Caenorhabditis elegans: one gene and its partners. The protein of the gene in region 2 purifies or fractionates together with the protein of the main gene of each other region. This does not show direct contact. Each region holds a gene or a part of one and is shown on either strand. Other genes may lie near its edges. The genes, in order: edc-3, car-1, plp-1 and aka-1.

Region 1 (7,971 bases), 4.3 Mb from region 2:
AGTCCATCCCGCGTCCTTAATCGCTTTACTCCTATCCCATTGGCATGAACCACAAAATCGTTCGATAAGTCTTCTCTGATTCACTCGCATAACTATAAGCACCCCGAGACTTTTGTTTTTTCTTCTTCTACACCATCTTTCGATTCCCATTATTTCTGTTCATTTCTGGAAATTTTTATATGGTTTTTTCTTTTCGAGATTTTATAGACAAAGAAACTAAAAAAATTTATTAAAGCAATCGTTTCTACATAATCACAATAAGTTACAGCGTCGCGTGGATTCGGGTTACAGAAGTCACGAAAATCAGAAGAGTTTGAATGATACCCATTATTGCACAATACCAAGTGCTCACAGCCTGAAAAATGTTTTTTCCCTCAACTTTTTAACTTCTTGAAAAGTAAATTTTTTTTAACGTACATTTTTCGAAGCGTACATTGCCAGTGCGAGAACCATTGACGTAGGAGCACCAAAAACGAAAGGAATGATGAACATCATTACTGAAAAGTTGAAATTATGAAAAAAAAAAGATTTTCAGAATCTTACTGATAAATGGAATTGGAATAAAGCAAACGTATGGATGTTTTCGAAGAGTGAAAAGGGAAAGAATTGTGGCTCCGAGACTAATTACCTGGAACAATTGAAACATAAAAAATAGTTTCTGAATAAAATATGTCATATTACCCGTAGCAAATTATGCCAAAGAATACAGACCCCAGTTTCGACACGACTAATATACTTGTTGAGTGCATGGTGTGCGTTCATCTGTTTTTATCGTTATTTATTTTTGTTTTTTACAAAGGAATAAATTAATTAAATTAAAAAACCCGTAGGCAGGAGTTTTAAATTACAGAACACACCTTTTTGCATTTATTAAAAATGTGTCGTATCGAGACCGGGTACAGTATTGTTGCCAACAATTTTTCGTCTGTGTAATAAAGTCAGTTTTTGTTAGGGCATTTTGGTGAATTAAAAGGTGTTTAGAAGTAGGGACTCGGAGTTTGGAGTAATCCTAGCCACTTTGAAAGAAGTGTTAATAATATTGCCAAAAAAATATAATACACAGATTTTTTTTCTGGAAATGCAAAAATGCCAAATCTTCGAATTTTTGGAACATTAGAAATTTTAATAATATTTCATGTTTCCAAAACTTACCATAAAAGAAAGTGACATCCAAAGAAATATGCTTAATGTGATTTCCCACCAATCATTCATATATTTTCCAGAAAGAAGTAGTGCACCGGCCAACGAATAAGTGCTAGAAATAGAAAACATTAAAGTATTTCTTGTGGAGATTTTTTGAATTTTAAAATCAAAAATGAGCTCATGGATAGAATAAAAGGGCATGTACAATCACATTATACATTAATTTCATTGCATTGTTAACGGTATGCGGTATTCAGTTTAGAATTTAGAAAATTTCTCACCTTTCACTGGTTAAATTTGTATAATTTCTAGAATTCTCGAAAATCGTAATTATTTCTTTATTTTCCGGCATCTTGAGACTCTTGATTACATTATTTTTAATTCAAATTCTGAAAAGCAGAATAATAATTTCAAAAATTAGAGATTAAAAGAGATAATTTGGAGGAATTAAAACTTTTTGTAAATTTAAATTGAAAACATGAATTCTCGATCTCTAATATTTTATTTTTCGGTGCTAAAAGTAGACGTGGTTGGGACAATAAGGTATATCAAAATATAAGATTTGTGCAAGAATATGGAATGGAAGATACATTTCAAAATTCAAAAAGTTTTGGTTCTTAGAATGGAAATGTGCAAGTCAAACGGGACAATACGAAACCACCGATATATTCCAACGACTTGCCAAAGGGAAGAAAAATGATATTGGAGTGATAAAGTAACGCCGACTGTGGGATTTTTAGAGAAAGAGAACAAATGCTAAACTACACGATTTGGTTTGATTTGGGATATCTTATGGAAGAATTTTACTATTTTGAGAACAAAGAAAATCACTCGATTCATTGTGATTGAGACTATAGAGGGATCGCTGGAGAAAAATCAAAATGATACTGAACCATGTTGGGCGAATAAAAAAAGTGTATGTCAACAGGAAAAGGGTTTTAAATAAACTAATTGGATTGTGAAAGTCTGACAAGGAAAGTTGTAGAGAATGCGGTAGAAATGAATTTGGAAGATGTGTTGTCGAACCAATTCGATGGAGATCCGAGGTCAGCAATGGCACTATCTGGAATTTTTTTTTGAATTTATTGAGTAGAAGAAGTAAACCTTACCAACAAGAATAGAACTTGTCTCCTCGTGCATTTTACCCTGGCACAAATGTTCAAAAGTGATACCTCCACGATTTATCGTTTGAACCTTACGTTCCGCATGCCGAAGTCCGTTTGTAGCACATCCAAATTGAAGCAAATGGCATCGAGATGGTTCGAGAACACTTGGAACATTTTCAATGCATACGTAATGAGAAGAAGCTCCATTGCTTTGAGCACGGAGCCAACATTCAACATCGTCGTTGACGACTGGTGAGAGAATACAGATTATCTGCAAATATTACATTGAAAATTATTTTTTTGTGAGAATTTTTGAACAAGGATGTTATTCGATATTCGATATTTTTGGAAAATTGATTGAAATCGAAAATTTTCGGTCATTTCTCTATTTTTCCAACAAATTGTATTCTTGATCTCATCAAAATCGGCAAACATTTGATGTAAAAATTTTATTTTTTCGATTTTTTTTAACAATCGAAAACATTCGTTTTTTCGACGATTTTTTTCGCAAAAATTTGCAAGATACGACTTTTGCAGCAAAACTTTAGTTTTTTTGATTAAAAAATCATCAGAATTCTGAATTTTCGGTTTTTTGTTAATGTTATTGCAAGAATTTTTGTTTTTTTAATACTTGCAACAAAATATAAATATTTCCGAATACATCTAAAATCCTGACCGGAACTTCTCTCGGAAGCATCTTTACATCAGTGACCACATTGACATGATCAAAGATCTCTCCTGGATATTTTCCGAATAAATGACAATTGTAACGTCGCTTGTCGAAATGGGTGAGCAGACGACGAATGGAACGAACAGAGTTTGCAGAAGATGCGAGAAGAACTACAGTTCCATGTGCATCACCATACGAATTTTGAACTTCTGAGACCCATTGGAAGATGCGATCGGCGACGATTGTGTCGTAGACAGCTTCTCCTAACGAAACCCTACATTCCTAAAAGAACATCAATTTTATATACTAATTTATTGGAAATCTCTCACATTCAAAAATTCTTTCTTTTCATTCAAACTTATTGCAGGAATTGGATCTCCAATAATCGACTTCTCAAAACTCACAGCAGTAACTCGGAAGTTGTTCTTTCTAGAATTATTACAACTATTTTCATAATATTCATTAAATAACTAACTCAGATGTCTGAGGTGTCGTTCCTGTCTTCACAAGTTCAGATCGTGCCTTCAAATTTGTCCACGAGGTCACTCGATTCTCATCGTCAATTATATTTTCGTAGTGAGCAAAATTTTGAGAGCATTTAAATTTTTCAACTGTCTCATAGTACTGGTCATCATTCTCCTGTAATATTTGTTTAAAACAAGAAAATTTCATGAAGAATCTCACATCTTTCTCGAATAATTTCAAATTTTCCGCAAAATCAAAATCTGAATCCAAATCAAAATCGATTGGATCAGCGAGATCATTCTTGTTTCGGCCACCAATTCCCTTGTAGTGATTGAGAGCGTCAAGAACTGGATTTCCAGACGGTCCTGAAAATCGAAACTTATATTTTGATTTTCAAATTATTAGAATTCTAACCCTGCTTCTTCGAACATCTTCCCCCATTCGAAGCGATTGTGCTCAAAACTTTTGGGTTCGGAACTTGGCGATCGAAACTTTGGAAATGTGGTGTTGCTGAAATTTCTTCAGCTGTCTGAAATATGTTATTGGTAAAAGAAATATATCATAGATTTATCATACATGAGAGAATCCATTGTGCATTGGTGATTGACGGCTCTGTTTCTTCGCAAGAGTCAGCTTGGATGGTGTCGAGTGATGTTCAAAGAGTTTTTCAACATTTGTCGCAACTGGAAAAATACATATCTCCTTCAAAAAATATTTAATTTTTGTATTTTTTTTTCAACTTTTACTTACTCTCGGTTAAGATAAGGTATTCAAGTTAGATAAAACACGTTTTTTAATCATACATTTTTTCGGTGATCGCCCCTTTGCCGATTTTTGAGGAGAAACTGCAACTGAACGATTGCGAGAAGAATCCGGTACTGAAGAAGCTGAAGAAGATGCGGTGGAAGTGGAAGATACAGTAGATTCCGCAGACTTCTTCAAAGGTCTCTGTTTATTTACACTATTTGAGGAATTTTGAACTGGCAAGGGCTGGGATTTTTGAGTTGACTGGGTAGCGCCTCTAATCACTTTCAATCGACTAATGTCTGACGACGAGAGAGTAAAGCAACGATGAAGAGGAAGTCCATTTCTGAAAAAAAACACATTTAATTAAAGATTTTATTGAAAATCGTACTTGATAACATTCGCCATGGTCAAATTCCCATTATTCGTATCATACGTTGTCAACTTTCCTTGATAGACATTTCCATCTTTAGTTTCGGTTGATATGACGCTTCCAATGAGTTTGTCATCCATTTTTAATTTGAAATCAGAAGAATTGGAACCTTAAAATTAAAATTATAAATGGGGAATCGTCCGTAGAGCGATAAAAGATAAAAAAGGAATAGAACCTCGGAAAAATATAAATAAGAACAAAACATTTAAAAGTTCTTATTTTAAAAATAACGTTCCGGTGAAATAAAAATGATTTGGGTACAGAATTATTCTCTAAATGAAAGAGATCAAATTGAAAAGAAAAACAATAATTATTGCAAAAAAATAAATTATCCCATAAAATCAAGTGGACGATTGAATCCTCCCTTTCGGTTCATGTATTGGCGGTATCTGCGAGGTTTCTTGATGTTCACGCAGCCATCCACGTTGTCATTGACCTGAAAAATTATAAATCTTTAAAAAATTTTAATTTGTGGAAGAATATTCAAAGATAATAAATATATACCTGTTTATTTTTAGTTGTATCGAATCCACCAAATCCCATTGCAGCCATCATCGCTTCATCGTCTGCTCCACTTTGTAACGACTCTAGACTGATCTCCTCTTGTTTCTCTCGTTTCTTTGGCTCACGATCCTTTTTTTGTCGTTCACGATCACGTTCTTTTCGATCCCGTGATCGACTTCTTTCCCGCCGATCTCGTTTATCGCGCGGACTTCTGCTTCGACTGCTTCTCTTTTCTTTTTCGTCGCGATTTTTGCGAGCATCTCGACGTTCACGACTTCTACTTCGTTCTCGCCTTCTTTCCACTGATCTTGATCTGGATCGTCTCTTCCTATCGCGACTGCGACTTCTGTCACGTCCCATTGCTCGCGAACTGAAAAATAAACGAAACTTGTAACGAAAGTAAAACGCAAAGCTATTTACGAAGCTTGAAAAGAAAAGTCGTCATAAAGAATTTTTCCGCGGAAAATTCGACTCAATTCTCCTTTATTGTCATCATAACGAGTAAGAAATGAAATAATTAAAATTTTATATTTCTAAATGAGTTTTCTGCTCTAAACCAGAAGCCGAGTACAAGGAAAAAGAATTAGTTTGTTTTTCAATAAAACGTTTTTTTTTGGACAAGAAAAAAAAGAAATCGAGAAATTTATTGGACAAGAACCAAACAAAACTGAATGCTTGTGAAATTTGCTGAAATCGTCGATATTTTCGTTTGTACGGTGGGGCGCGCTTTCTCTTCTCCGTTTCAAAAAAAAAATCGGTTTCGTCCAGAACATCATAACAGCTTCGGCGTGAATTAAAATATAGTTTCAATGAAAAATACATTATAATCAACTTAAAAACACTATGTTCTGGATAAAATGGAGATAATGGTAAAACTTTTAAATTGGACTCGATTATTTCAACAACGAAAAACAGCAAAACAACAAAAAAACAAAAAAATCCTAACAATTTTCAACTGAAACAACAAAACAATTGAGCGCAAAATTCGCAAAACATTTATATATTCTTATTGTTCTTCTTGATCAACTTCTTTTTCTTGATTTTCTTCTCTGGTTTCTCCGCTGTCTGTGTTTCAGTTTTATTCTTCGCTTTTTCCTCAGCGGCTGCCTTTGCTAACATTTTCTTCTTCTTGATCACCTGCTCTTTTACAATGGCGATTTTGTGACGCTTTGGAGCATGTTTGAGCATATCCTTTTTACGATCTCTGAATTAAAAATTGAGTACTCAGAACAATAGGATTACCCTCAAACCTCGAGACTTTTTTCATTTCCATTAAATACTCCGGCACATCAAAACCAGATTGACGGATAACAGTTGCAATTGATTTAATATACTTCATATCAGCATCTGTGAAGTATGTGACAGCATGACCACTCTTTCCAGCACGACCAGTTCTTCCAACACGATGAATGTAGCTAACAATTGAAGTTGGCAAATCATAATTGATAACCAATCCAACATCAGACAAGTCAAGACCTCTTCCAAGTAATTCAGTACAAACGAGAACCCATATCTCTCCTCGACGGAACCTTTCCATCGTTTCATCCCTTTCCTTATCACTTTTTCCACTGTTGATTGAATCAACTTTTAGATTTGAATCAATTGCAGACAGTAATTTCACCAGTTGCACGGCACGATCCTTGCTTTGTACAAAAACTAGAGCTGGTGGTTTGAAGGAAGTTCGCAACAAATTTCGAATAGCGATTTTCTTTCCATCTTCAGTTCCACAATAGGTTAACTTTTGCTTCACACTTGTATTAGACGAGTTTCGTTCACCAACACATACCATACCAATTTCATCGATATTCTCCTTACACCTGGAATTTAGATATGGAATTTTGATATGACAAATCTTCGAAAACGTACCATTTTTCAACTTCATGTGAAAATGTGGCACTGAAGAATGCGACACGTGTGCATTTGGCATCACAAGCCTTGTAAATTGCAGCGAGTTGGTTACGGAAGCACTTGTCCTGGCCTTCAACAACCTCGAACAAACGATCGGATTCATCAACGACAAGCCATCTGAAAAAATGAACAAAGTTTTTAGGGAATGGTTCAAATGCAAACCTTAATGAAGACGTATCAATTTTATCCAAATGAAAAACGATACGATTTGGAGTTGACACGAGGATATCTGCATGCTGAATATCAGTTTCTTCTCCACTGAAGTTGGCAGCTGAGATCGAAGTATTGGCGCAATATTTCAAAAATTCGGTGTAAGTCTGAAAATCGTTAAATTTGATTACGATTCTATAAATTCTGTAGAACCTGTGCTGCTAGTTCTCTTGTCGGTTCGAGTACCACTGCCAACAGCTTCGAAGAGTTAGAGGATGAATAATCAGCACGTTGCTTTAATTCGAGAATCTCATCGATGACTGGAAGAGCAAACGCCAACGTTTTTCCTGATCCTGGAACAGCCGGAATTGGAAGTTTTTCTCTTTTCAAGTCTTTACCTGTGGGAGCACTAGCAAGAACATTTCTTCTCTCAGTCATAAATGGAATTGATTGCATTTGAATTGGTGATGGTTGACGGATTGAATTCTCAGATAGACGATTGAGCAATGATGGTGACATGCTGGAATCGGAGAATCGTAGAATAATATTAGGAAGATGATCACCCCAAGTGAAAATTCGATTGGTACGGCGAATGTCGTCGAGCTGAAGATTTTTTTTCAAATAAAAATTAAATTTCTGTAGAAATCTCACCAATTTCTGCATTCTCTTTTCCACGTCGCCAACGGTCTCCTCCACTTCATTTTCAGAATCTCCGTCAGAATCATGTACTCTCTTTCGTGATGCAAGAATTTCAATCGACGCTGAATATTACAAATGGTTTATAAGTATTATACTAAATAGACAATATTAACCTTTCTTTTTATTTTTCTTCACTTTTTTCTCAATTT
Region 2 (6,490 bases):
GATTATCTGGAGAGGTAATAACATTTTGATTTTATAGTTTAGCAGATCAAAGCAGAATCCTATGCAATAAATACCTAAATTACAAATAATTATCCAAATGCCTTTCTTATTTCAGAATGCCGCTTCGAAAAGTGTGCCGAAAGTTCAAAAATGCGGTCGATGGGATGGATCCCGGATTCAAGAAGATCCGCATTTGTATTTATGAACCGGAAGCGTTTGATGTCGAGTTTGACTCGAACCTGTTCTATTTTGTGAAGGAATCCGGCAATGCCACTCATTATTCAAAATTCAACCCTCGAAAGATGCTTAAATGGAAGTTCGGTAATGGAGAAGATTCATTGGAAGTTGTTATGAAGTTCGTGACGAAGATGATGAGTGAGTCACCCGAAAGCGAAGTTGGAGATTTTCCAAATTTATCTCGGCGAATCTTGTGCGCCTTATGAAGACTTCTCCAAATACTGCTGCAAACTAATCGAAAGAATTCTAAAACAATCGGCCTATCCAAATTTAAAAAAGATTCATTTGTTCGGTCTCAACTCTCGTCAAACTCCATCGATTCTCCGTCATTTCAAGCCAGGAAAATTGGAATTTCTCTGGTCAGATTCATTTAATGCAGAAACAATGAAGGAAATGTATAAATTGGATCAATGGAAAATGGCAAAATCGGTTGAAATTTCCTAACTTTTTTTCAAAAATCCGTTCAAAAAGTTTGAGCAATTTGAAAATATCAAAATCCGTGATCAATGTGCTCCTGGAATACCGTCGACGTTTGGCTATTTATGGAATTATCATCGCTATGCCAAATTGGTTACTGTTGGAAAGGCTGTTGAAATCAAAAATGTAAGTTATTCCACCTACACTGCTTGTAACTAGTTCAAATAACTTTTCAGTGCCTCATGAAGTCCACAAATTTCAAAAAATGGGAATTCTGCATGGGTATGAGTTTGGACGCTGCGAGAGTTTTCGATCCGAATGCCTCTGGATTCGAAATTTCCCGAGATGGAGGAGTTAAGGGAACTATTCGCTGTCTCTTCAAAGGGCATAGCGTCAAAATCGACTTTAGCCCCTGGAAGTTCGAGATCACCAAGGAATAATTTTATTATGTATTTTCTCTTTTAATGTTTAATTTATTTCTTTAATGTGTTCACTTCAATCAGTTTCGCTGAATAGTTTTTATAAAGTAACATTTGTTAGCTATTCTTTACGTATTTAGTCGCCAGAACAACTATCGAACTTTTTGAAATTACAGCAAACTTATACCAATATTTTTTGACACCTTACATGTCCAACTGGCTTCCAAGTTGTAGAAAGAAAACATCGAAGCAATGATACAAAACAAAAAGTTTATACGGGGAAATCACAATTTCTCAGGGCTTGTCTACCTAAGAATGAAGGGTTTGCAATATTATAGCAAATCTAAGAGAAGATCTTAAAAACAATTTCATATCTCCTAGAAGACAATCATAAAAGGCGGGGTGTGGGATGATAGGAGAGCAGGTGCAAACGATTTGACAGTTTAGTCACTGCAATTTTATTAAAATGACAAACTGAGGACAACAGAACGACATGCTTTAAAATTCACAAGCTAGAACTTAAAAAAACGGGGGAAGGGTCCAATCACTATTGTAGTGGGGGAAGAAAAAACATTGGGAATTTTTTGGATGGGAGATGTGTGTCGGTGGGTGGGTGCGCAATAATTATTACAAAATAACAGAAGGCCCGCATTGAATCGTACGAGATTTCTAAATAATTAACGGGTTTCTTATAACACGCCAATAGTTGAGAAGAGACAAGGGTAATCATTGATGGGGGGGGGGGGAGAATGGATAAACTTACATAATAAATTAACAAACGGCTAATATCGGGGTATGGGGATGTGGGGAGAAAACAATTTCAGGGAATTCGAACTTATTGTTCGGCAGCTGCGGCAGTATTGCCTTGGTTGTCACGTGGAGCATATCCACCACGACGGTATCCACCGTTGTTCTGACGATAACCTCCATTGTATCCTCCACGGTGCTGGTGTTGATGCTGGTATCCGTTGTTGTAACCTGAAAATTGAGCATAAGACGTTGTAACTTCTAAAGTGGAACTATACCTCCATATCCGCGGTTTCCACCACGTCCTCGTCCTCCGAATCCACGACGGTAGTTCAACGAACGCACTGCGTTGTGTCCGAACGTCTCCTGATTCGTTTCTCTCTCCTTCTTCCAATCTGGCCGTCCAGTCTTTCCTTCGGCTTTCTCCAGTGATTCACAGCTGATGTTGTCAAAGAATGAAGTCTTCTTGTCGTAGAAGGCAGCATCCTTCTTCTCCTCAACTTCTGGCTCGGCCTTATCCTCAATGTTGAGCTTCTCAAGGTTGTCGACGAGAACTTCTTGGAACTTCTCATTGGCCTTCTCGAAGTCAAAGTCCGATTCGAACTTCAGCTTTTCGCGGTGATTAACTCGAGGAACTCCATAATTGTTGTGCCCTCTTTGGTTGTTGTATCCGCCAGCGAATCCTCCGCGGTAGTTGTTGTATCCACGGTTAGCTTGGAAGTCTGAAAACATGATCATAAATCCAGAGTTGATTTGAAAGAAAATAAAACTGACTTTGCTGATAACCTCCACGTCCTGGACGTTGATTTTGGATGATTTGGCCTAACGGACTGTTACGGGATGGCGTTCCGGCTCTGGAAGAACCTGCAGAGGCAGCTGGAGCTCCGTCACTTGCTGGGGCTGATCTCGAGGAGACAGAGATGATGGCTGGATCGTATGGAAGCCCTCCTCCAATGTTGGCCATCTGAAAAGACATTATTTAGATCAATGAAGCTCGATTATCCGGCAACTCGCCTTCGGAGTATCACAAACGATCAAATCCTTGATGTCGCTGGCCTTGAAGATGATGTACTCGTAGACATCATCACGAGCGGCGACCGGATTAGCAGTTGGACGCTTCTCGGTTCCGAACGAGCGAACCTTGGCCAACGCGATGGTAGAGTCGTTGGTGTCGACGGTGTAGAGGATTCCCTCGTAACGGATGTCGAGCTTGGAGATCAGACTAATCTTGCTTCCGATGTACGGTGTTTGATTCGACATTATTACCTGCAAAAATGTAATATAATTTAAGTTTCACAACGTTTGAAGAAAGACGAAGAGCAATATTGTCGGGAATAGGAGAATAAATTAACAACTGAAACCGTGTAAATGTGCGCTTCTATCAATCCTAAAACAAAATCTTGCGGAATACTACGAAAAATGTCGAAGCGATCTCAATTGTGTCGAGAAACCTTAGAAATTAACCTAATTGGCCTAAAATCGATACGGAGGTGTCAATAAGTCTTAGAGGAACATCAACGATAATATACAAGGATAACACTGACAGTTTAAAGCCCTAATTTCTTATAAGAAGTGGGAAAAGCTGCAAAAGTTTAAAAGTAAAATGCGAAGCCGTCATCGTTATCGATTCTGCGCCGATGGAGCGTGATTGCATCCGTCTGCCCACTTATTTTATGAGGTACTGCGCAGCCACGGCCGTACCATTGCAGTAAAAATAATTTTGAGTATTAAGAACCGAAAACTCACTAATTGAACTTCTCAAACAGCTAAAAATCGGCAGAAGAAATAAAAGGTAAGCTCAAACTTGAAAATCACAAAAAATGGGAAGTTTCTATCAAAATTCGCAAAATTTAATGATTCTAAGCTGTAACTTTAAGTTCATCACGTCAAAAATAATTATTTTAGCAATAAAACATTGAAAATTTCCCTAGAAAATCAAAAAAAATAACGAAAAATCAACAATTTTGCGAAGAAAACAACAAAAATCCTAAAATGGCGCTGCACCCCAATCCCATTTAAAGGCGCATGTTTTGCTATAGGTTTTTGTGGGTCTCGCCACGATTCTGCAAATCTTGGCACCGTGCCAACTCCGTAAATCGACACTAATTATTTTTCAAAATTTAAATGAAATAAAATCAATTTTTGTGCGAATTTATTGAATTTTCTCGTTTTTTTGTGATAAAATTGTGAAAAAGACTGAAATTTACTTAAATTTTATTGTTTAAAACTAGTTATATCTTCTAAAATCAATTTTTATTCGATTTTTCAGGCAAACTCCCGCGAAAAATGGCCGGAATCACCGCACACTCCCAATCCCAACAATTTGAAGAAGACGAATTCAACGAGATAAAGAAGACCGGTGTATCGTGTGATCGTCTACGTCAAGCACTCAAAAAATGCATCAAAAACTCGCATTGTGTGCAAGTTCAAGCTCGATCTGCGAAGGAATGCATCGATGCACGTGGCGACGGAAGTGTACCCGACAAATGTTTCGCCGTTCTCCAAAATTTCACCGACTGCAAGCGATCACTGGTGGACATGAGATCGAGATTCCGAGGAAGGAAGGGCGATCTTTGAGCGAATAATTCGAAAATTTTCATATTTTTTGTTACTTTCTTTTTAGGATTTCAGCTTTCTCTATAATATAATACGTGTATAAATCTATTTTCCAGGAAGAATGTGTTAAAAACTTGAGAATTATCATCGTATCGCTAAGCTGGGCCTGTGGATTCGGCTTTTGGGAATTTCCCGCAAAATATTGAACTTTTCGCCTAATTGGCTGCCATATGACTCCGGAACTCTCGACTTTTGTCAAAAAATTCGAAATTTTCGAATTTTCGCCCACTTGAATCCGAAATTTCGCACATTCTTCGCCATTTTCTTGCCAGTTGTTCTAAAAACTTCCAAAAAAGGAAGCAAAGAACCCAATCAAACGTGTATATTTATTTCATCATGTATAGGAACAGTAATAATAATACGAAAGCAGTGACGGGGAGAAGAGAAGGAACGCAGAAAAAATTAAAGAAATTGCAATAAATCGTATATCTGGGGGATTTCGATCGATAATCAGGGAAACACTCGGAATTGGAACAAAAAAAAGTCGAAAAAAGTTGGAAATAAAAATGTTGCCTACCCAGTAGCAGCGGAAGAATAAATAAAATCTGGAACAAAAAAAAAGAAATCCGGGGAAAGAAAGAAATGAATCGATTTTTGTATCACAGGCGGGGAGGGGGAAAGGGTGGGATTTTTGAAGCGGAAAATTGGTGAAAATGGAGAATTTCCACAATTTCCACGAGATATGTACACGAAAAAAAATGATATTAGGAGAAAAACGGGGGAATTTTAAAGCAATAATCAATAATTAGAATGATATTTCCATTTCCACAGACACTTTTAAAATTGCAAATGTTCAGAAAAATCCACGTAGAGAGCCGATTCGAGTCGGGCCACGGCGTTTTTGTAGGTAAGGCTTCCGGAGAGAGCGTGAGCGTCGCGGAGTGTGTTCTGGAAAAAATTTGGGTTAAAAAATGGCAAGTTTTTCGATATATCGCGATAAAAATCGCTTTTTTTCTTAAAAATTTCAAAATCTATGGGAACTTCTGATTTTTTTACAGCGAATTTTATAATTTTCTAGCTCAAAATTCCTCAATTTTCCGGTTTTTTGACAAGTTTTTCGACAAAAAACACTTTTTCCTTAATTTTCTTCCTAAAGGCGCACGGAATTACTCGAATGGGTCTCGAAGCGAGAAAAAGTTTATGGTAGAAATTCGTGATAAATCCATGCGCCTTTAATTAGAAAACTTTTTCGCTAAATATCTATTTTCAGCCAAATTTCGGTGAAAAAATTGAATTTTCACAGTTTTTGGTTCAAAAGTAGCCGAAAATTCATAAAATTTCAGTGAAAAACTATGATTTTCAAGCAATTTCGGTGAAAATTTATATAATTTCACCAAATATATTGATTTTGTTGGGAAGAAAACCTTGCTAGGTCGAAATCTATCGAATTTCCCGATTTTTAATGCAATTTCAGTGGCAATTTTTAGGTAAAACTTCATTTTTTAATAAGAAAATCATGATTTTCGAATTTCCGACAAAAAGCCTTCAATTTTAGCGAAAAAAAAACTACAAAATCCATGTTTTCTAGCTCAAAATTTCTCGTTTTTCATAACTTTCCGCTCAATTTCAGTAGAAAATTAATAAAAAATAGAAAAAAAAATTCCAAATCCATGGGAAATTCAATTTTCTAGCTGATTTTCGAGAAAAAAAACATTTTTTTACGGGATTTTATAATTTTCTAGCTTAAAATTCCTCAATTTTTCCATTTTTTGGCTCATTTTCCTGGCTCCGCGGCAAAACTCACATTGCTCTCAGGCACCGACTTATTCAAATTAGCAAGTGTATAAAAGAATGGTCGAAGTTCTTCAAAAGACGTGAGAATTTTAACGGCACCAAGTGAAGCCGTATGATTACTCATCGTCTCTGGCGTCAGCAGTTCTCCGTATTTTTTCGCCAGTAAATCATTAATTCTCTCGGCAAATGGTTTGAATATTTCAGTTTTATCAGCTGATACAGATGATACAAATGCCCAGTGAAACATTTGGAAATGTGAGAGATAACCGGCTGGAAGAGTACACAGAGTTTCTAATAGTTTACAAGCGGCCACGTATAGT
Region 3 (6,286 bases), on a different chromosome or scaffold from region 2:
TTCCAAAAATTCAAGAATTCCTTCAAAATCTTAAGATAGATTTTCTCTCCGTCCATCGTAGCACTCCTCTTCAATATTTATCAAATATAAACCGTCTTGGTTTTTATGTTGGATTCCCGAGACGTTTACAAAATGAGGAACTCATTTGGAAGCCAGTTTCACAGGTGTCACTTAATGAAACAGACTATTTTGATTCAATGATAAGAGTTGGAAAAGCTGAAAGAGATTATACTATGTCGCAGATTGGAACATATTTGGACAAGTAAGTGTTTTAATATTAACATTAAAATTCGAATCATAAAACGACATTTGAGAATTTGTATACAATTAAATTAAATTGAACATCGGAAATGGTCCTGCACAAATAGGCATGTCTTGTGTTATATCTGCGAGCTGTAAAAATTGTTTCAATTAAATTTTGAACAACTCCGTTTAAAATAGGAAATGATAAATTCAGAAAATAGGTTGTAGGCTGTTACATAGGCAGGCAGGCAAACAGTACCATATAGCTATACATAAGAAGTTCATTACGTGTGTGCTGATTTATTTTAAGTGTATGGTTAAATCGTATAGGTACTGTAGCTAGCAGGAGATCTTAATTTCAAAAAACATGTTCATTCTGACAAACTAAATATCAAACTTCGCGAGGCGAACTTAAAATTCCTAATACAAGTACTTTTAGTGACGACACAACGACTTTCCCAATAAGTGATCCAACAATGCTTTATAATTCTAATGTTGGAGCAATAGTGATTCCACTTGCATTCATTGAACCTCCAATTTATTTACCTGGTGATGAAGTTCCTATGTATGGTATCTATTCAAGTCTTGGAATAACCACGCTTCAAATGATTTCAAAAGTTTTTTGGCAAGGCTTAGATAAAACGTCTCAACTGGAATGTCTTGACAACGTATTCCGTGGATTCCTGGATGCAAACCGACAGAGATCACCAAACATTGAACCTGAACTTTTAGCAACTATTGAATTAGCAGATGCATTTAAAAGTGCATTGTATTCTTATGCAAAATGGCAAAATGATCATCATATTCATCACGAGAAGACGCTTCCAGCATTCGATTCAACTGATAGTATGAGATCTCTAATGCTCACTTTTTCTACGGTACCATCTTTCAGTAATTCATTTTAAACCATCAATTTTTCAGATGTTCTGTAGCGGAGAAGGATCAGAACCTGGAAGTGACTACGAAGCAATGATCAATACAGTTGCTGAAAATTCTCGAATGTTTTCAATACATTTTAACTGTAACAATTCTAGTCGTCTTTACAACCGTCGAACTTGTTTATGATTGTTTTTTCAACCTGTGATTAATTATTTAACTCTAATTATCTTTTCCTTAATTCAAACTTCCACAAGAATTCAGTTATGAATAACACTTTTCAATATTTTATTCAATTTCTTATGAAAAGAAATGAAATCATTTAGCAATCCTTATGTCTTCATCTGCTTCTTGACCCACATCAGACCTTCGTAGAGACCTTGTCCAGAGTGAGCGTTTGTACCACAGATGAACCACTGAAAAGCCAATTGTATTATCATAATGTCACAAGATTTTGGCATTCCTTTTAGGTATATATATCCTATAGATTATAAGGTCTACAAAACAATACAACTATATACCTCTCTATTCTTGAGTGAACCCAAATCAAGCAGCTGAGTCAGCTCGGCTGGTGATCTTGCATTCGGCATATCCTGCTTGTTTGCAAAGACAAGCAAATGAGAATCCGCAAGCTCTGGCTCGGCCAGCAAACTGAACAATTCCTCCTTTGCCTCGGGAATCCGCTCAATATCCGAACTGTCCACCACAAACACTAATGTCTGAAATTAAACAATTTTCGTTGTATAATTCCTCTTGATAATTACTGTGGTATTTGGAAAGTAGTATTTCCAGAGAGCACGAATTTTCTTCTGACCTCCAACATCCCAAACAGTGAGAGTGATTTTTTGGAAGGTAACAGTCTCCACGTTGAATCCTTCAAACAAATACTCAAGTATGACCACATTTAAAAAGTGAACAAACCAATGGTTGGAATTGTATTGACTGTCTCATTAAGCTTCAGCTTATAGAGAATAGTCGTTTTCCCGGCTCCATCTAAACCGAGCATCAATGTACGACATTCGATATTTGGAAACATGAAGGAAGAAATTTTAGAGAAGAATAAGCCCATTTTGAACGAAAAAGACTTTTTGAAAATGCAGAATACGATATTCTTGAAGCTATGTCGACAATCAGAGTTATTTTATCCATCTCCATGGCTCCACGTTCCAGCTAGTGAGTTGGCCGTTTTTTGCGTGTTTTAATTTCTGTTGGAAGAAAGTTATTACGAAATATTTGTTCACTTAGTCAGACCCGCCCTTTTCTGGTTTCGCAACAGGTGTTCGATAAGGAAACGTAACTTTCCCTGGCAAGAATAATTAAGACACGAATTTCCCGAGAATTTATTAGAGTTCAATAAACTTGATGCTTAAATAAATAAATAAACGAAACAGGTAGAGTGAAAATACAGGAACACAGCAGTTTAGAAAAATAGGTAAAATCTTTACATGCAAATGCAGTAAAGATTTGGAGGGATTTTTTGGGAGACTCTCGAGTTCGATAGATGTTATGCAATTACGATTGTTTTTTTTGCAGAGAAAACTTGTAGATCACTACTTTCCTTGGTTGGCGATGATGTTATCCAACTCTTTGCGGAAATCGACGAGTGCGGACATTGGAACGGTGATTGCGTTACGATAGCCGCTGTTGAGTTTGATCTGAATATAAAATTAGAATAAACTTCTATTTGACACAAAATTATTACTTCCGAGATGCGAACAAACTCTCCACGATCGTTCTTTCCGGAATGGAAAAGGAACGATTTGTTTTCAGCAGTGATTTTTGGAGTGTTGGTGTTCTCCTGTTCGTGTCCCTCTCCGAACTTGGCCAAATATTCGGTTAGCACCTTATGAATTTCGGCGATTCCATCGGATGGAATGGCGATTTGTTGGCGAGTTTGACGTGGGTTCATCGGCATCTGAGCAATGCGCAAAAAGCGACCACGAACATTTTCCTTCAGATCGACGTAGAATTTTCTCCCGTCGACATTGAGAGTCTCTGATTTGATGAGAGAGCTTTCCTTTGGCTGAAATTTAATATTGCATTAAAAAAGTTTTTAATATATTTTTTTTTAATTTTTATATTAAATATCAATAAAATTATGGGCATTGAAGCAGGTATATTCAATTTAGAAATCCACTTTTGTTTTCACTAAAAAGTTCATCAGCTTTTCAATTGAAAAAAATCAGAAAGAACATTTTTGCCTAGAGCGTGTATAAATTGTTACGCCACTTCTTTAAATAATTGCAACTTACAGCGTGTTCACCAGTTGATGGTTCATCAATGAGGGCAAGCATCTTCGAAATCTCACTCACGATTGCCTTGGCAGCGACGATGCTTAGAATAATACGGCTCTTGTAATTTGTACCCAACTGAAAAATGCTAATATTAGTACGGGAAGTTAGTTTCGAAGCAACCTCAGCAATCTTGATGTAACGTCCACGAGTGTTCTCATTGACATCGATGTAGTATCGCTTGTATTGAACAGTGAGCTGGTGAGTAGCCAGAGAATCCTCGGCACGCTTGGTTCCCCTTTCAACACTTCCGTCCGACATCCTTTACCCAGACAATTTCCTTTCGAACAAACGACTATGGTGACAAAAGACACCCCTTGAACCAACTGGTCTGCAAATAAAAAATATTTGAATTAAAATAATAATAATTCCATTGAGAACAAAAAGAAAATTACATATTAGATAAAGTGTAGCCATAAAAAACGTTACTTAACATTCTAAAACATATTTGCATCATCTGACGAAACATTCTCAAGATAAAATTATCCACTGGACAAGGCCACTCGTACACGTTTGCGAACACAACAGCTGGTAAGAAATAAGAGCGCTTCTGGTTCGCATAAATCAAGGCAAAATCGATATTGAGCGAGAGCGAGGGGACACCGAGAGTGTGGGTCGCTACCCACTGAAATATATGCATCACTTTCACTGCTTTCGGAAGTTATAAATGGCTCTTTTTAAAATAGAATTGACAAAATAATTAGAAATCATTCCCGGTGACAGCAGGAAAGAGATCAAAAATTAGGATGAAGAAGTCACTGAAGAATCAAATCTTGTGACCTTGACAAGAAGACATGATGGCAGGAATAAATATAAATTGGTTCAACAGTATTTTTCATTATGTTAAGTTCAATTTTCATTGAAAATACATTATATAAAACGATAAAAACAAGATTTAGAAAGGAAAAAAAGCTAAAAACTCACAAGAAAATTTGATTGCTTACGAAAGTGTGCAAACACCGAGACGCAATTTCACACGGAAACAAATACGCGGCAAAATTCAGAAATTTGAACACTATTATTCAAAATATACGTTTAATAAATAAATAACCTTCTGAAACGTGGGAACATGAAACGTGTAACATATTTTTTTCATCAAAATGCATAATCGTCAAAAATCCGATCAATTTAATTTATTTCTCTATTTATCGGTGCAATTGAAATGAAGCTAACAAGGAAATTCACAATTCACTTGCAATTATTTATTTACGCAAATCTTGTCAACTGCTTTTCGATTGATTCACCGGAGAAAATAGGTAAAATTGCCATTTCGTGGACCAGGAATGTACATTTTGTCGTGAATAATCTGAATGACTGTTTAGAATGACGTTTCAGAAAACTGAAATTGCTGTATTGTAATTCCACAAGATTTTGGCATGACTTCTTAAAGGCGCACGGATTGATTCAGATTGGTCTCGGCGCGCAAAAGTGTATGATAGTATTCTTTTGTAATTTTTGCGCGCTGTGACCCATCTAAATAAATCCGTGCGCCTTCAAGAAGGCATGCCAAAATCTTGTGAAGTTATGTACGATATCACAATTTCTAAATTTATAATTTTCACTCATAAAATCAATAAGAATTCAGCTCTGGAACCTAATACGTTGATTGTGAGAGATACTCAAGAATACTGGGCACTTGGTTGGCCAACCTCCATATCATGTGATTCCAAATCAAAACTAGAAGATATAAATTCTGGAGAAGTAAGCATTTTAAAACATTTTTGATTTAAGATTGAAAATTTAGGGCCAAAAAATGTATTGGAAGATCAGATACCCAGATTCGAAAGGTGAAGAGACATTAGATCAAGACGACAAGTATGCAGCGCTGAGTTTTATGTTTTTTTAAATAATATAATTTTAGAGCAAATTATGATTATATGAATAACCTCCTACAAATCAAAAACGTGTCCCGAAATTTCAACAACACAGTATTTGAGTGTGTCATCGAACGGCCAGGAAATATCACAATGATCAGTAGACATCGAGTTCAAATTCAAGATTGCATTTTTCGTAGTCCACCGGATACAACAGCATACAACTTGCATAATCCGTGTGCTTATGGAAAGTGTATGGTTGAATGGGGAAGAGTGGAATGTCTCTGTTTCAGACAATACGGTGGAATTCATTGTGACGGTAAGTTAACTTACAAAGTTTCAGTTGTTAATGGAATTCAATTGTGTAAACGCGTGATTCATTTTTTGTGACAGTTCTAGACCGAGTTTGACCAAAAATATTAACTTGTTTTAGAAGTTAGCAAAGCTTGAGCACAAGTTTGGCGTGTCTTTGACACATACTACGATCAAGTTTAACCTTGATCCTCTTCTTTTTCCAGGTCCAAAATGGGGTAATTGGTACCTTAATCTTTTTCCATTTGTGCTAGCCAGCTTCGTTATCGGCTTGTTCATCATATTCTTTTGCATAACTTGTATTTACCAGGATGACAGGAAACAGTATGTTTAGATTTAGTAAATATTTTAAATTTTGAGTTGTTATTTGAAATTGTTTTCAGAGAAAAATTGATGGAAATATCACAAGTTGTTGGACACTCGGATCGTATCGATTTCACACTCTATGATTTGTACCCATTTGTCGGGAAACTTGGAGGTTGTATCTATACTGAAGCTGATGCAGTGGATGATAAGAAGTATGAACGAGTAAGAAAAACAATTACGGATTTCCTGCAACGAGGGGAAGACGAAGAAAAAGATGAACAAATCGGAGTTACAACAGTTGGAACTACGATGGAAATCCCTCCAAAAACGTATGTGCTAATTGTTTTAGTTCAATTCACACTTTGTTTATTTACAGCACAACTAGAACTACTACTACCACAGCGAAAACGACAACAAAAGCTTCAAAAAGTTCAAAAACAGTTG
Region 4 (10,561 bases), on a different chromosome or scaffold from region 2:
TCTCGCGTACGAAACATCTGCAAATAAATAGAATAACTAAAAAGTGCGGTATTTCAAATTAGGAAATTATCTAAAATTGAGATCAAGCCAAAATCAACCGAATTAAGGATTTTTGTTATCTTTTGTTGTATTTGTTGTCGATTCTGCCCCTTACGGAGCTATCCCGACAACCTTTACAGTACTCTAATATTGGTTCCACATTGAATAGCCCACTATTCTTAACCAATATTAGAACTGTCGAATATTCCTCCAGTTATTATCTCTTTATTACATTTTGTTCCATTCAAATCCGTTCAGTATTCGCTGAGATATCAATCACCTCATAAATATTCGTATTCAAATCGCGCGCCACCAGCCTACAGTAGCGCCTTCACGGCGAGACCCCACTGCGTCTCTAACTACTTGGCGCCGTGCCAACTCCACCGCCACCCGCGAGTTAACAACTTGTTTGTCGACGAATTGGTGAAATACGATGCTGATGATATGTTGTTGATGCCGTAATTATTATCAAAATACTTCTAATCTCTATCAATACCAACATCCACAACATATCACACCATCTATATCCACATGCTTCATTTTCCCAGCGCGTAGCGATACCCACTACGTTAGAATTATATCTTAAACCCTATTTGAATTATATCTTCCTTAATTGACCCACTATTACCTTCGTATTGATTGAGAGGGTTTTTACACCAACACCAAGGAACTTTAATACCATCTTCTATTGTTCTTTACTGTATTTCCCTCCTTTTACTTGTTTTATTCTATTTAGAGTCCTGCGTGACCCACACGGGCGCGGTTGTATAATAAATAGGTTTTTGAGTAATCACTTGTTCGTCTTATTCCGTTCTTACACATAATTCAGATGATTTACTGGGACACACGGGGAGAGAGGGCGAGGTACTGGAGACGTGATCGACACCGACTACATACATTCTACACGGCCTCAACAGTATTTGAGCATTCATATATTAACGTGAGATACCCATTGGCGCTATTATGCTATGAGAATACGTATTCCGCAACACATTTGACGCGCAAAATATCTAGTAGCGAAAACTACAGTAATTCGTTAAAAGACTACTGTAGTGTCGATTTACTGGCTAGTTTTTGAAATATAAATTAAAACAAATTTTTTACTGATCATTGATTTATCAATAGAGTATTAAAATTTAGAAAAAAATGAGAAAATTCATTTCAAAAATCGAGATCCCGTAGATCGACACAAGCTCTACAGTAGTCATTAGAAGAGTTACTGTAGTTTTCGCTACAAGATATTTTGCGCGTCAAATATGTTGTGGAATATGCATTCTCAGAGTTTTGTGTTGCCGTAATACTCCACCTTCATTGAAATGTGTGGTATGGTGATAATCGTAAGATAATTATTGTAGAAATGTCTCAAGAGCGTGTTCACATCATACCTAGACCGCCGCCTGGATACCAAACTGTGGTAAAAATCAGAAAACGATTTCAAGACAATCCTATGTCATTGGAACTTTCAATCTCGGAAGAACCAATCGACTCACAAGTTTTGGATGTAAGTTTTGCATGCCTCAGATACTCCGTTTAAACACTTAGAAATTCTTTTTTATGATCAATACCCTCAAAACAAAAACCAAACTTTCGCTAACAAGTGTATTTATCTAATCTACATAAGATTCCAATTTAGGTCAACACGTCGTCGTCCACCATCACTGCTCGTTGCCCGAGTCCGCGTGTTGGATCAGTGGCTCGACCAACACGAACATGAAGACGTCCAAAGCAGTTGATCATGGATCCAAGCCGGAAAAAATATGAAATCGCATAATGTTAATAAAAATTGAGTTATTTGTACTGTGTTGTGACATTTATTTATTTTCGGCCTTGAGCACTTATTTCATATATGTCGTTTCTACTTCGCTTTGCCTTTTGGAAGATGGTCAATGCCAATTGGAATGTGCATGCATTTGAGTATATGAACAAAACGGTGGTTTCAATTGGAGAACTGCTTCTTCTTCTATAAATCATCATTATGCAAAACATTGAAAATTAATGGGATGCGGAAAGAGAAATCAAGGGGGTGAAACGGAAGGATTTAAATTACAAGTTAACTCCGCGACTAATCAAATAATAATTGAAAATCCTCCGAGAAGAAAATCGATCATGATTAGTATAAAATGTGTTAGAAGTGAGATGGAGTGTTTTGGGGACTACAAGAAAAATGGAATAAGTATCACAGGATTTGGATACACGAATAAGCGTTGAGAATGTCTAAAGAGAGACTAGTAAAAATGGATGCATTCTACAAAAAAAAGGTTAAAAGTGGGTGATTGCACATTGTAATGAAATATATGGAAATCTCTTAGGAAAATGGGCAACAGAAAAATGTTTCAATTTGGATCGAAAGGTTTCAGATTGGAAGAGCTCTTGTAGACACAATTGAGAGTACGAATTCGACTTCAAAACCATTTGGAACATACTCTACCATATTGTACAACATTGGAATAAGCTGAAAATCAATGGGTTCTGGTCTGAGCATAAATTAAAAATATACCTGATCAAGACTTTGCTTGTATTTGTCATTTTCGGCTTCTAACCCGAGCCATTTCGAAACATCGTACTCGAACTCATACGGCGAAACGAATAAACGAATAGAAACGCTTCTGAAAATATCAGAAATCACGGAACAAGTTTTTTGTCTCAAAATTCTTACCCAATACCAGCACAAATTAAATGTTGAATATGTGGCTCAAGCATTGCAACGCATTCCCTCGCAGCAATTTCAATCATTCTGAAAATAGAAGAACATAGTTTAAAATAAAATATTACTGATTACCCATAAATTTTAGGTTCTTCCTCAGGCTGAAGTCTACCATCACCGAGATTATAAACATGTGACATTCTGATTCCATAATCATTTATTCCCTGAACTTGTAGAACTTGCGTCAGAGCTCTTTCGAGAGACAATCCATATTGAAATTTGTTCTGAAAATTGGAATTGAATGAATATTTGAACATGAGATCCAGATCCTTACAATGAGATAGAGGCCGTCTATCTGCGATTTTGGATAATAATCACTGTCTGTACAAATCCAGTTACCGTCTTCGACAAACTCGACACGAAATTCCATATCTTTAGATGATTCAACTGCATCGTTTCCATCGTTAATTGCATTTAAAATAGTTTCCAATCGCTCGCTTTGAAGTCTTACAGCAACACCATCCTCAACAACATTTACTTGAAGTGAACTGACTTTCGATCCACCATCGAGAATTACAAATGATGCACTTGTAGCTACAAAAACGAAATTTAAGAACTTTTCTTATTAGTAAGAAACTTACATTCTCTTTGTCCAATATTTTTGGCAAACACTTGAGTCGAATAAAGCCCTGGGTCAGTTTCCTCACAAACCTTAAGCAATGAAATTATTCCGATAGTAAATTATAAAAATCCTCTTACAAGTACACTATCATCTTCGCAATGCAAATCACAACTCCAAGCGACCATTGAACGACTAAAGTTTAGAACATCTTTTAACTGAAAACAATTTTTTAAAATATTTTTCAAACTTTTGCTAATAAACCTCTTTAATTGCCGATTTTGGAATTCTGATTACAGTTTTATCATTTGTCAACGAGACTGTACATCCAGAAATGTGACGCATTCTATAAGACCAAGACCGGAAGTCAGTGAACACCTTCAATACAGTTCCGGATACATCAGTGCTGTATGTAGATTCACGGCCAATACTATTGACAAACGGTGTTGGGAATACTGAAATTTTTAAAAATTATAAAATTATATAAACAAAAATATCAATGTTACTTACCATTGAACTTCTCGCCGAGTTTATACAATAAACGATTAGGAAGAGCTGTCGCCCAATTGAGTTCATCATCGTGCAGGAAACAAGCAATCAGAAATGGATTTGTGGGAATTCGCATATTCTTGAGACCAACTTGTACAGTAGGCCGGAAAAACATAATGTGTTTAGTTAATGGATAAGTTGGATCTGTAACAGAATGCACACGCATCAGACGATTTTCAACCTTTCTGACACCAGCGTATTCATGTTCGGTGGATTGAGTGTAGATCTGTAATGCAAGCGAATTTATTTTAATTTTATAGTGATTTTTTGTTGATTAATTCTGGTTTTAATTCCTAAACCAATTAGCTAACTTTTATAAAAAATATAGCGTCTTTTTTGAGGCAGCGTTTAGAGTTTTTTTAAAAATTAAAATTGTTTTTCAGTAAAAAAGTTATTTTTCGCATTAGAAAGGGATAAAAAATTCTGATTAACCCAAAAACTGATAAATTTTATATTTCTTTCACAAAACTACATTCGAATTTATAAAAAAGGTGCAAGAGGCACCACGTTTTCAAGATCTGTTCAAAAACAAGATCTACGAAAACAAGATCCACCAAAACAAGATCTACATTTTCAAGATCTACCAAAACAAGATCTACGTTTTCAGGATCTGGCACCGTGCCAACTGCGATTTTCTCGAAGAAAACGAAACAACGATGCTCCGATGTTACGCGTCGCGTGTTGTTTAGCGTTCAAACGAATATTTTTTGAAATTTTCTTCTAGAATTTACGCTTAGCAACACGCGACGCGTACGCGCGCGTAGAGAAAACCGCAGTTGGCACGGTGCCAGATCCTGAAAACGTAGATCTTGTTTTGGTAGATCTTGAAAATGTAGATCTTGTTTTGGTGGATCTTGTTTTCGTAGATCTTGTTTTTGAACAGATCTTGAAAACGTGGTGCCTCAGGTGCAATTTTGATGAAGAAGCTTAGGTTTTTCAAAATAACGCTACAATCTTACAAAATTTTTCATTTCCGCTTCGTATTTTTTTATTTTTTCGTTTTCGAAATTTAGATCATGCAAATAATAATACTCACCAATGATATACGATGTAGAACTGGGAGAGGTAAAACTACCAATGCAGATTTTTCATCAAGTTCGGGTTCTTCTGCATCAACTTTTTGTTTTTCTTGATCGTTCAAAGTCCATGAAAACATCAATTCGTCGAGTCCAATTTGAGCGAAACCTTGCGTTGATACAGCCCAGACGAGACCGAAGTTAGGATCTGGAAAAATAAACCTTATTTGCAAAAAAAAACATTAAAATGTATTCTTACTGTTAAAAATTTGTACAGTGCAATTCAAATTTTTTTTGAGAACGACAGTGACGACGGAAAAATTGCAAAGTGTTTCAAGAACAGTGGATGCGTCTTCGAATTTCGGATGTTCACAATCAGGTTTCACAATTAATAATTTAGTTATTCCTTCTTTCGGAAGTGCACAAGCCAGTTCATCCTCCATCCGTAATTCTGCTATTCTTCTGACTACTGATGTCCGTTTCCTTGACTTCTAAAACCATTCGTTCATTGGCATAATCTAACATAATTCACAAACCTTTTTTGGTTTAAGTGCAGTTGATCGTTCTTCTTCTGGATTTCCTTCATCGGCAGGTGCACCTGGACGGACTCCATCCCTAAACATTACCGATCTTCTTGAAGAATCTGACACATTTCCCGATGTCGAGTGAGCTTGACTACTTGTTGATGCACCATCTTCTTCATTAACATGTACCGTCGGTTTGGTTTTCAGTACACCGCGAGGAATTGAGGTGGAAGCAGCTGGAATAGAACTGATCGTTTCATCTCCACTCAACCCATTTTCAGAAGCGATTGATTCTCTCCGTCTCTGTTCATCTTGCTCATGGGTTTCAATTCTGGCAAGCATTGCAGAACATGGTTTACATACTCGCACAGCTTGCAGCTTTTTGCCTTCTTCTTGAAGATATTCCAGGAAAGCTTTTTCGTTGCAACAAGAACCACAGAGAACGCGTCCGCATGCACGACAGTGATGGCGTCTAGTAATAATTGTGAACCTGAAAAAAATACAAACTAGAGGCCTATTCCTAATAAATTATTGCCTTGTATTGCACAGCATACAATTTGGGCATTCAGAATCTGGAATCCAATACGGTGATGTTTTTCCGAGTTGTAATTCTGATTCGGTGAGTCTCCTTTCTCTTCGTGGCGTTGCTGATTCGTCTGAGTCAGACTCGTGAAGAACGTGAATGGTGGCTATGGAAGACTGAAACAATTGAAATTATTCTGGATGTATATTTGTGTACAAACATCAAAGCGTGGACGATTCTCAGTATTTTCCTCGTCGTTCTCCTCGATTGAGGAATCCGTGTTTTCATTGACAGCATCTACTACTGTGCATTCATCTTCAACATGTTCAACATTTTCTAACACTTCTTCGTTGTTTACTGATGCTTCTGATTGAGAACCTTCATCGGGAAACTGTAAAAAGTAATTAATTAAATCTACTTAATAAACACTCTTGACTAACTTCATCTGAATTTTTATTTGTTGATGAGTCGGCAGTTTCTGGTGACAATGTTTCCTGATCTTCAGTTTCCAAGTGAATCTCCGAATCATCTACGACTGATTGCTCAGCAACTAAATGTGCAGTCGAGGCTTCATTCATTTTCTCATTCACAAAAGAAGATTCAGAACCATTCTCGATTACAACATCAGATTCTAAATGGTCTTCGATATTCTCAAGAACAGTTCCGCTGGTTGAGTTAGACTCTGGAACATCTTCTGACTCATTTTGCACAATCGCCTCAGAGTTTTCAATAAATTCAACATCGATTTTCTCGTTTTGAAGGTTCTTCTCTGTTTCCGAAGAGCTTTGTGTCGGTTCTTCACTAGCTTCATTTTCTTCCGCTACAGATTGCATTCGTTCTTTCTTAGAAGAATTTTCCGGCTCAGAAAGATAATTGTGATTATCTGCGTTGAAAGAATTAAGAGAAGAATGAGTACTATCGAGACTCATTGCAAATACATCGGGCACTGAATCATTTGCTTCGTAAAATTCTTTAACAGCAGGATCATAATGCATTTTCCGATGATTCAAAGCCTCGGAAATTACCAGTTCGGAGAAACGATCAGCAAATTGATAAAGTGCTGATTCATTTGCTGACTCTTCGATGGAATCACGTCCTCCTTCCTCTCTCGCAGGTTTATCTTTCAAACTCGACTTATCGACGCTCTCGTCATTTAGGTATGCCAGCATATCTTCCATTTCGGTATCTAAATCGAGATTTGGTTTTGATATTGTGGCAGTAGGCTCCGTGTCTCTTGCAGTGGCGTTGAGATTTGAAATAATTTGTGTTTCCGGAACAAGAGTATCCTGAAAAATTATATTTATAATTTATTTCCGTTTATAATAAATTACATACCTCTTCTACTTCTGATACTTCTTCAGGTTCTGGTTCTGGCTCAGACTCTGGTTCTGATTCTTGAGAAAATTTTTGTGTTATGACTTTTTTGGAAGGATCGAAATTTGTCGCGTCGGAATAATTATGAACAGATTTGAGCTTGTGAGCAATTTCTTGACGTGCCGAAACTTCATTCTCTTTTCCTATATTTCTTTCATCTGAATTAGGCGGAAAACTTGATTTAGTTTGAAATGTGTTTGGAAGCTGTGAAGTGTCAATATTGATGTTGCCCTGGAAACAAATGTGTAATTGTAAGATAAAACAAGTGCAGGGAGATCTTACTTCCATCTGTTCATTCATATCCTCACTAATCACAAATTTTGAAACGGTTACGACAGTTCTTGGAGCCGGATTGTGTTTTATGCCACGTGGTTGCATTCCTATCGATGTTGGTGGCAAGAGAGGTTTTGATTGAACACTGCAACATTTCTTGACCAAGTCTGACTCCATTTCGTCGAGAAGGTCGTCCATGTCAGGTACTTCCTCCATTGTGACTGCAAGAATATTATTGAAAAAATAACACGGATATTCAAGTCAATGTTAAAATCATTATGAAACCGAAAAAATTGTCGTATGAAAGTTCATGCGGAGGAAAATGTTTTTGCGAAGAGAAAATCAATATCCAGCGTTTTAGAAATATGATTTAAGCAAGGATAGCGTTTTAGGAATTTCTTCAGAATTAAAAACGGACAGAAAATCGTGTAAAGACTACTTTTACGACGCGGAAGTCTTGTCAACAAGAGAGAAAAGAAAATGCGATCAAGTGGTCGGTTGTCCGCAATTTGGCGTGACGGTGTCTTCTAAAAAGAATGTGTGCAATTTGACGTGACGGTGAACATTCTTTTCAGCTGACGTGAGACCCGAAGAACTCGGGGGATGTCCAACTGGGGGGATTACCAACTCGGGGGATTGGCCCGCCCACAGAACCGTGGCTTGCAATACGCCCATTTCTGCAACTGCCGCACGGTTTTAAAACTGTATTTTTCTCAATAGAGCGAGAATTAACAAGAAAAAAATGATTTTAAAACCGTGCGGCAGTTGCAGAAATGGGCGTATTGCAAGCCACGGTTCTGTGGGCGGGGCCAATCCCCCGAGTTGGTAATACCCCCAATTGGACATCCCCCGAGTTCTTCGGGTCTCGCTGACGTTGGTTTCGGTTTTCCAGTTTTTTTCTCATTTCCGTCTTCATTTATTGTCATTTGACTGAAAGTACGAGAATTTAGAGAATAAAATGAGTGAGCAGTACAACACTAAAAATGCCGGTGAGTCTTTTCAAATTTAGCAACTAAAACAAACGAGTTTGTTTTAAACAAAAGTTCTGATAAACCGATTAAAATGTTTTCCGTTACAGGTGTGCGGAGGCTCATGAAGGAAGCCATGGAACTGCGACAGCCAACGGAAATGTATCATGCACAACCAATGGAAGACAATCTTTTTGAATGGCACTTCACGATTCGTGGTACTCTCGGGACTGACTTTGAAGGCGGAATTTATCATGGTAGAATTATATTTCCAGCAGATTACCCGATGAAACCGCCAAATTTGATACTTCTTACGGTATGTTCAGTTTATTCCTTGCAATTACATAGTCTACACAATTTTTCATTACAGCCTAATGGACGATTTGAGCTAAATAAGAAAGTATGCCTTTCGATTTCGGGATATCACCCAGAAACGTGGCTACCATCTTGGAGCAGTAAGTTTTACAATGGTCTATTCATTTTAAGACTTTTTAATACATTTTGCAGTTCGTACAGCTCTTCTCGCGTTGATTGGATTCCTGCCAAGTACCCCAGGAGGCGCGCTTGGTAGTTTGGATTATCCTCCCAAAGAGCGCCAGCGTTTAGCCAAATTGTGAGTCTCATTTTTTATTTGTTTTTAATCAAGTAGCGTATTTATAGGAGCTGTGAGTGGAAATGTAAAGAATGCGGATGTGTCATGAAAACTGCGCTTCTTCCGATAACTGAAGATGGACAATTAAAACAAACCGAAGAAGCGAAAACTCTTGCTGCCCAACTCAAGTTTCAAGATGAATCTGTTGTTAAAAAAGAAGTTGAAGCAGCCAACAATCAAAAGAACCCGACAGAAACAGAGCCAAGTGAAGAAACAAGCTCGGTCCCAACAGAAAATGTCGAAGAATCAGAAGAAGATGCAGATGAGAGAGAAGAAGGTACTACTGTTAATGTCAATTCATCAGAAGTACCAGATGTCGCACAACCTGCTGTCCAACCCATTCGAGGTACTTGAATTGAAACATTTTGTCTTGAAAATAATTTATATTTTCAGATCCACAACCTCTGGTATTCCAACACCACGCTCCCCGCTTGGCATCAACAAACTTTGACTATACCCTTCTATACAAGATTCCAGTTATCGCTTTGTGTTTCGCTATTTTCTTCACACTATTGGCTCGTCGCTTCCTTGTCGATAATCTAACTTCACCAAAAGACGGTTCCGAGTTGTAAATACATGTATAATATTATTCAATCCCGTTGTACTTTTTCCATTTTCTAAAATCAAACTTCGTGCAATCACTTGCCAGTTATTTCTTGGCTCTCTCCTCTCAGTTAGTATTTAGATTCTAATGAAATTATCACAAAATATTTGAGTATCTTTCTTTGTGATTCTTATTTCTTGAGTTCTTTTTTATTCATAAAATTGGTTTTAACTATTTGTTCAGTCAAAAAATATCACAAAATTCTACAGAAAGAGAGTCAAACACTTCATTTAAAATCGAACCCGTATTTTATAGTTCCAAAGTGTCATTAAATACAGAAATACACAGATCAATAGTTAAATCTTTCGGAGAAAGAATGAGCAAGAACGCGAAGTTTTTCAAAGTGAAAGAAGAGTAGAGAATGTACAGTAATTTACTAAAATGAACCGGCTTTGGAAACATCATCAGGACGAATGCTATCGATTTCGAAAACTTCCGATGTTGGAACATATCTTCGAGAAACCTGTTGAAATAAAATATTAAAATTTATCTGCGACGTGTATCTTACCGAATCATTCCGCTTATTTCTACCAGGATTCGCTTGGTACCCCATTTCCACGTAAACATTCGATGGACAACTTGAAGATACAGTAGACTGCTGAACAATTAACTATATTAAAGATTTGGAAGACCAAGTTTTCTCACTTTTGATCCAACATTTATATTTGTTCTAACGAGACGGCCATTTAACGATTTCAATGGACGATATGCAGGAGTCATATATGATGGTTCTGGTTGTTTTGTTTCTGTTTTTTGCATTTCATTCCAAATTTGAA

The links.
Region 1: the proteins of car-1 (region 2) and edc-3 purify together in Caenorhabditis elegans (affinity purification with mass spectrometry, with the first as the bait; one large-scale study listed by BioGRID). This does not show direct contact.
Region 3: the proteins of car-1 (region 2) and plp-1 purify together in Caenorhabditis elegans (affinity purification with mass spectrometry, with the first as the bait; one large-scale study listed by BioGRID). This does not show direct contact.
Region 4: the proteins of car-1 (region 2) and aka-1 purify together in Caenorhabditis elegans (affinity purification with mass spectrometry, with the first as the bait; one large-scale study listed by BioGRID). This does not show direct contact.

What each region holds. Positions count from the first base shown.
Region 1 is NC_003279.8:8,598,824-8,606,794, reverse strand, and holds edc-3 (DFDF domain-containing protein), read right to left. Parts: upstream 4,671-7,971; 5' UTR 4,642-4,670; coding exon 4,520-4,641; intron 4,475-4,519; coding exon 4,188-4,474; intron 4,068-4,187; coding exon 3,961-4,067; intron 3,914-3,960; coding exon 3,799-3,913; intron 3,750-3,798; coding exon 3,604-3,749; intron 3,559-3,603; coding exon 3,395-3,558; intron 3,349-3,394; coding exon 3,249-3,348; intron 3,202-3,248; coding exon 2,926-3,201; intron 2,521-2,925; coding exon 2,253-2,520; intron 2,207-2,252; coding exon 2,091-2,206; 3' UTR 1,633-2,090; downstream 1-1,632. Other genes in the region: F43G9.13 (Vesicle transport protein), read right to left, coding at 263-355, 418-497, 544-628, 1,153-1,255, 1,425-1,495; snrp-27 (U4/U6.U5 small nuclear ribonucleoprotein 27 kDa protein), read right to left, coding at 4,890-4,997, 5,066-5,425; ddx-52 (putative ATP-dependent RNA helicase DDX52), read right to left, coding at 6,062-6,269, 6,316-6,882, 6,932-7,090, 7,136-7,290, 7,337-7,476, 7,522-7,726, 7,775-7,884, 7,936-7,971.
Region 2 is NC_003279.8:12,901,066-12,907,555, reverse strand, and holds car-1 (Protein LSM14 homolog car-1), read right to left. Parts: upstream 3,087-6,490; 5' UTR 3,081-3,086; coding exon 2,835-3,080; intron 2,785-2,834; coding exon 2,595-2,784; intron 2,543-2,594; coding exon 2,099-2,542; intron 2,052-2,098; coding exon 1,909-2,051; 3' UTR 1,516-1,908; downstream 1-1,515. Other genes in the region: coa-5 (Cytochrome c oxidase assembly factor 5), read left to right, coding at 4,107-4,397; Protein pad-1, read right to left, coding at 5,214-5,324, 6,181-6,490. UniProt on the Caenorhabditis elegans protein: Transcriptional regulator. Involved in modulating embryonic expression of ATP-dependent chaperone cdc-48.1. May play a role in mRNA gene silencing, and RNA granule (P-body) assembly.
Region 3 is NC_003282.8:7,630,815-7,637,100, reverse strand, and holds plp-1 (Transcriptional activator plp-1), read right to left. Parts: upstream 3,742-6,286; 5' UTR 3,672-3,741; coding exon 3,534-3,671; intron 3,489-3,533; coding exon 3,372-3,488; intron 3,143-3,371; coding exon 2,822-3,142; intron 2,775-2,821; coding exon 2,670-2,774; 3' UTR 2,448-2,669; downstream 1-2,447. Other genes in the region: nep-16 (Peptidase M13 N-terminal domain-containing protein), read left to right, coding at 1-262, 683-1,121, 1,165-1,308; warf-1 (ADP-ribosylation factor 1-like 1), read right to left, coding at 1,452-1,535, 1,641-1,838, 1,884-1,993, 2,041-2,188; F45E4.6 (EGF-like domain-containing protein), read left to right, coding at 4,573-4,666, 4,996-5,111, 5,155-5,225, 5,272-5,543, 5,743-5,860, 5,920-6,171, 6,219-6,286. UniProt on the Caenorhabditis elegans protein: Probable transcription activator. Binds telomeric DNA containing repeats of the sequence, 5'-TTAGGC-3'. Binds to end-1 promoter, activating end-1 expression, which is required for endoderm specification during embryonic development.
Region 4 is NC_003280.10:7,470,756-7,481,316, forward strand, and holds aka-1 (FYVE-type domain-containing protein), read right to left. Parts: upstream 7,783-10,561; 5' UTR 7,778-7,782; coding exon 7,571-7,777; intron 7,520-7,570; coding exon 7,250-7,519; intron 7,201-7,249; coding exon 6,355-7,200; intron 6,306-6,354; coding exon 6,135-6,305; intron 6,091-6,134; coding exon 5,927-6,090; intron 5,882-5,926; coding exon 5,404-5,881; intron 5,359-5,403; coding exon 5,127-5,358; intron 5,076-5,126; coding exon 4,888-5,075; intron 4,078-4,887; coding exon 3,813-4,077; intron 3,758-3,812; coding exon 3,567-3,757; intron 3,521-3,566; coding exon 3,443-3,520; intron 3,395-3,442; coding exon 3,325-3,394; intron 3,278-3,324; coding exon 3,018-3,277; intron 2,968-3,017; coding exon 2,819-2,967; intron 2,774-2,818; coding exon 2,696-2,773; intron 2,646-2,695; coding exon 2,537-2,645; intron 2,492-2,536; coding exon 2,393-2,491; 3' UTR 1,974-2,392; downstream 1-1,973. Other genes in the region: ubc-6 (UBC core domain-containing protein), read left to right, coding at 8,520-8,550, 8,640-8,845, 8,900-8,984, 9,037-9,142, 9,190-9,527, 9,575-9,753; cah-2 (Putative carbonic anhydrase-like protein 2), read right to left, coding at 10,162-10,248, 10,294-10,383, 10,431-10,561.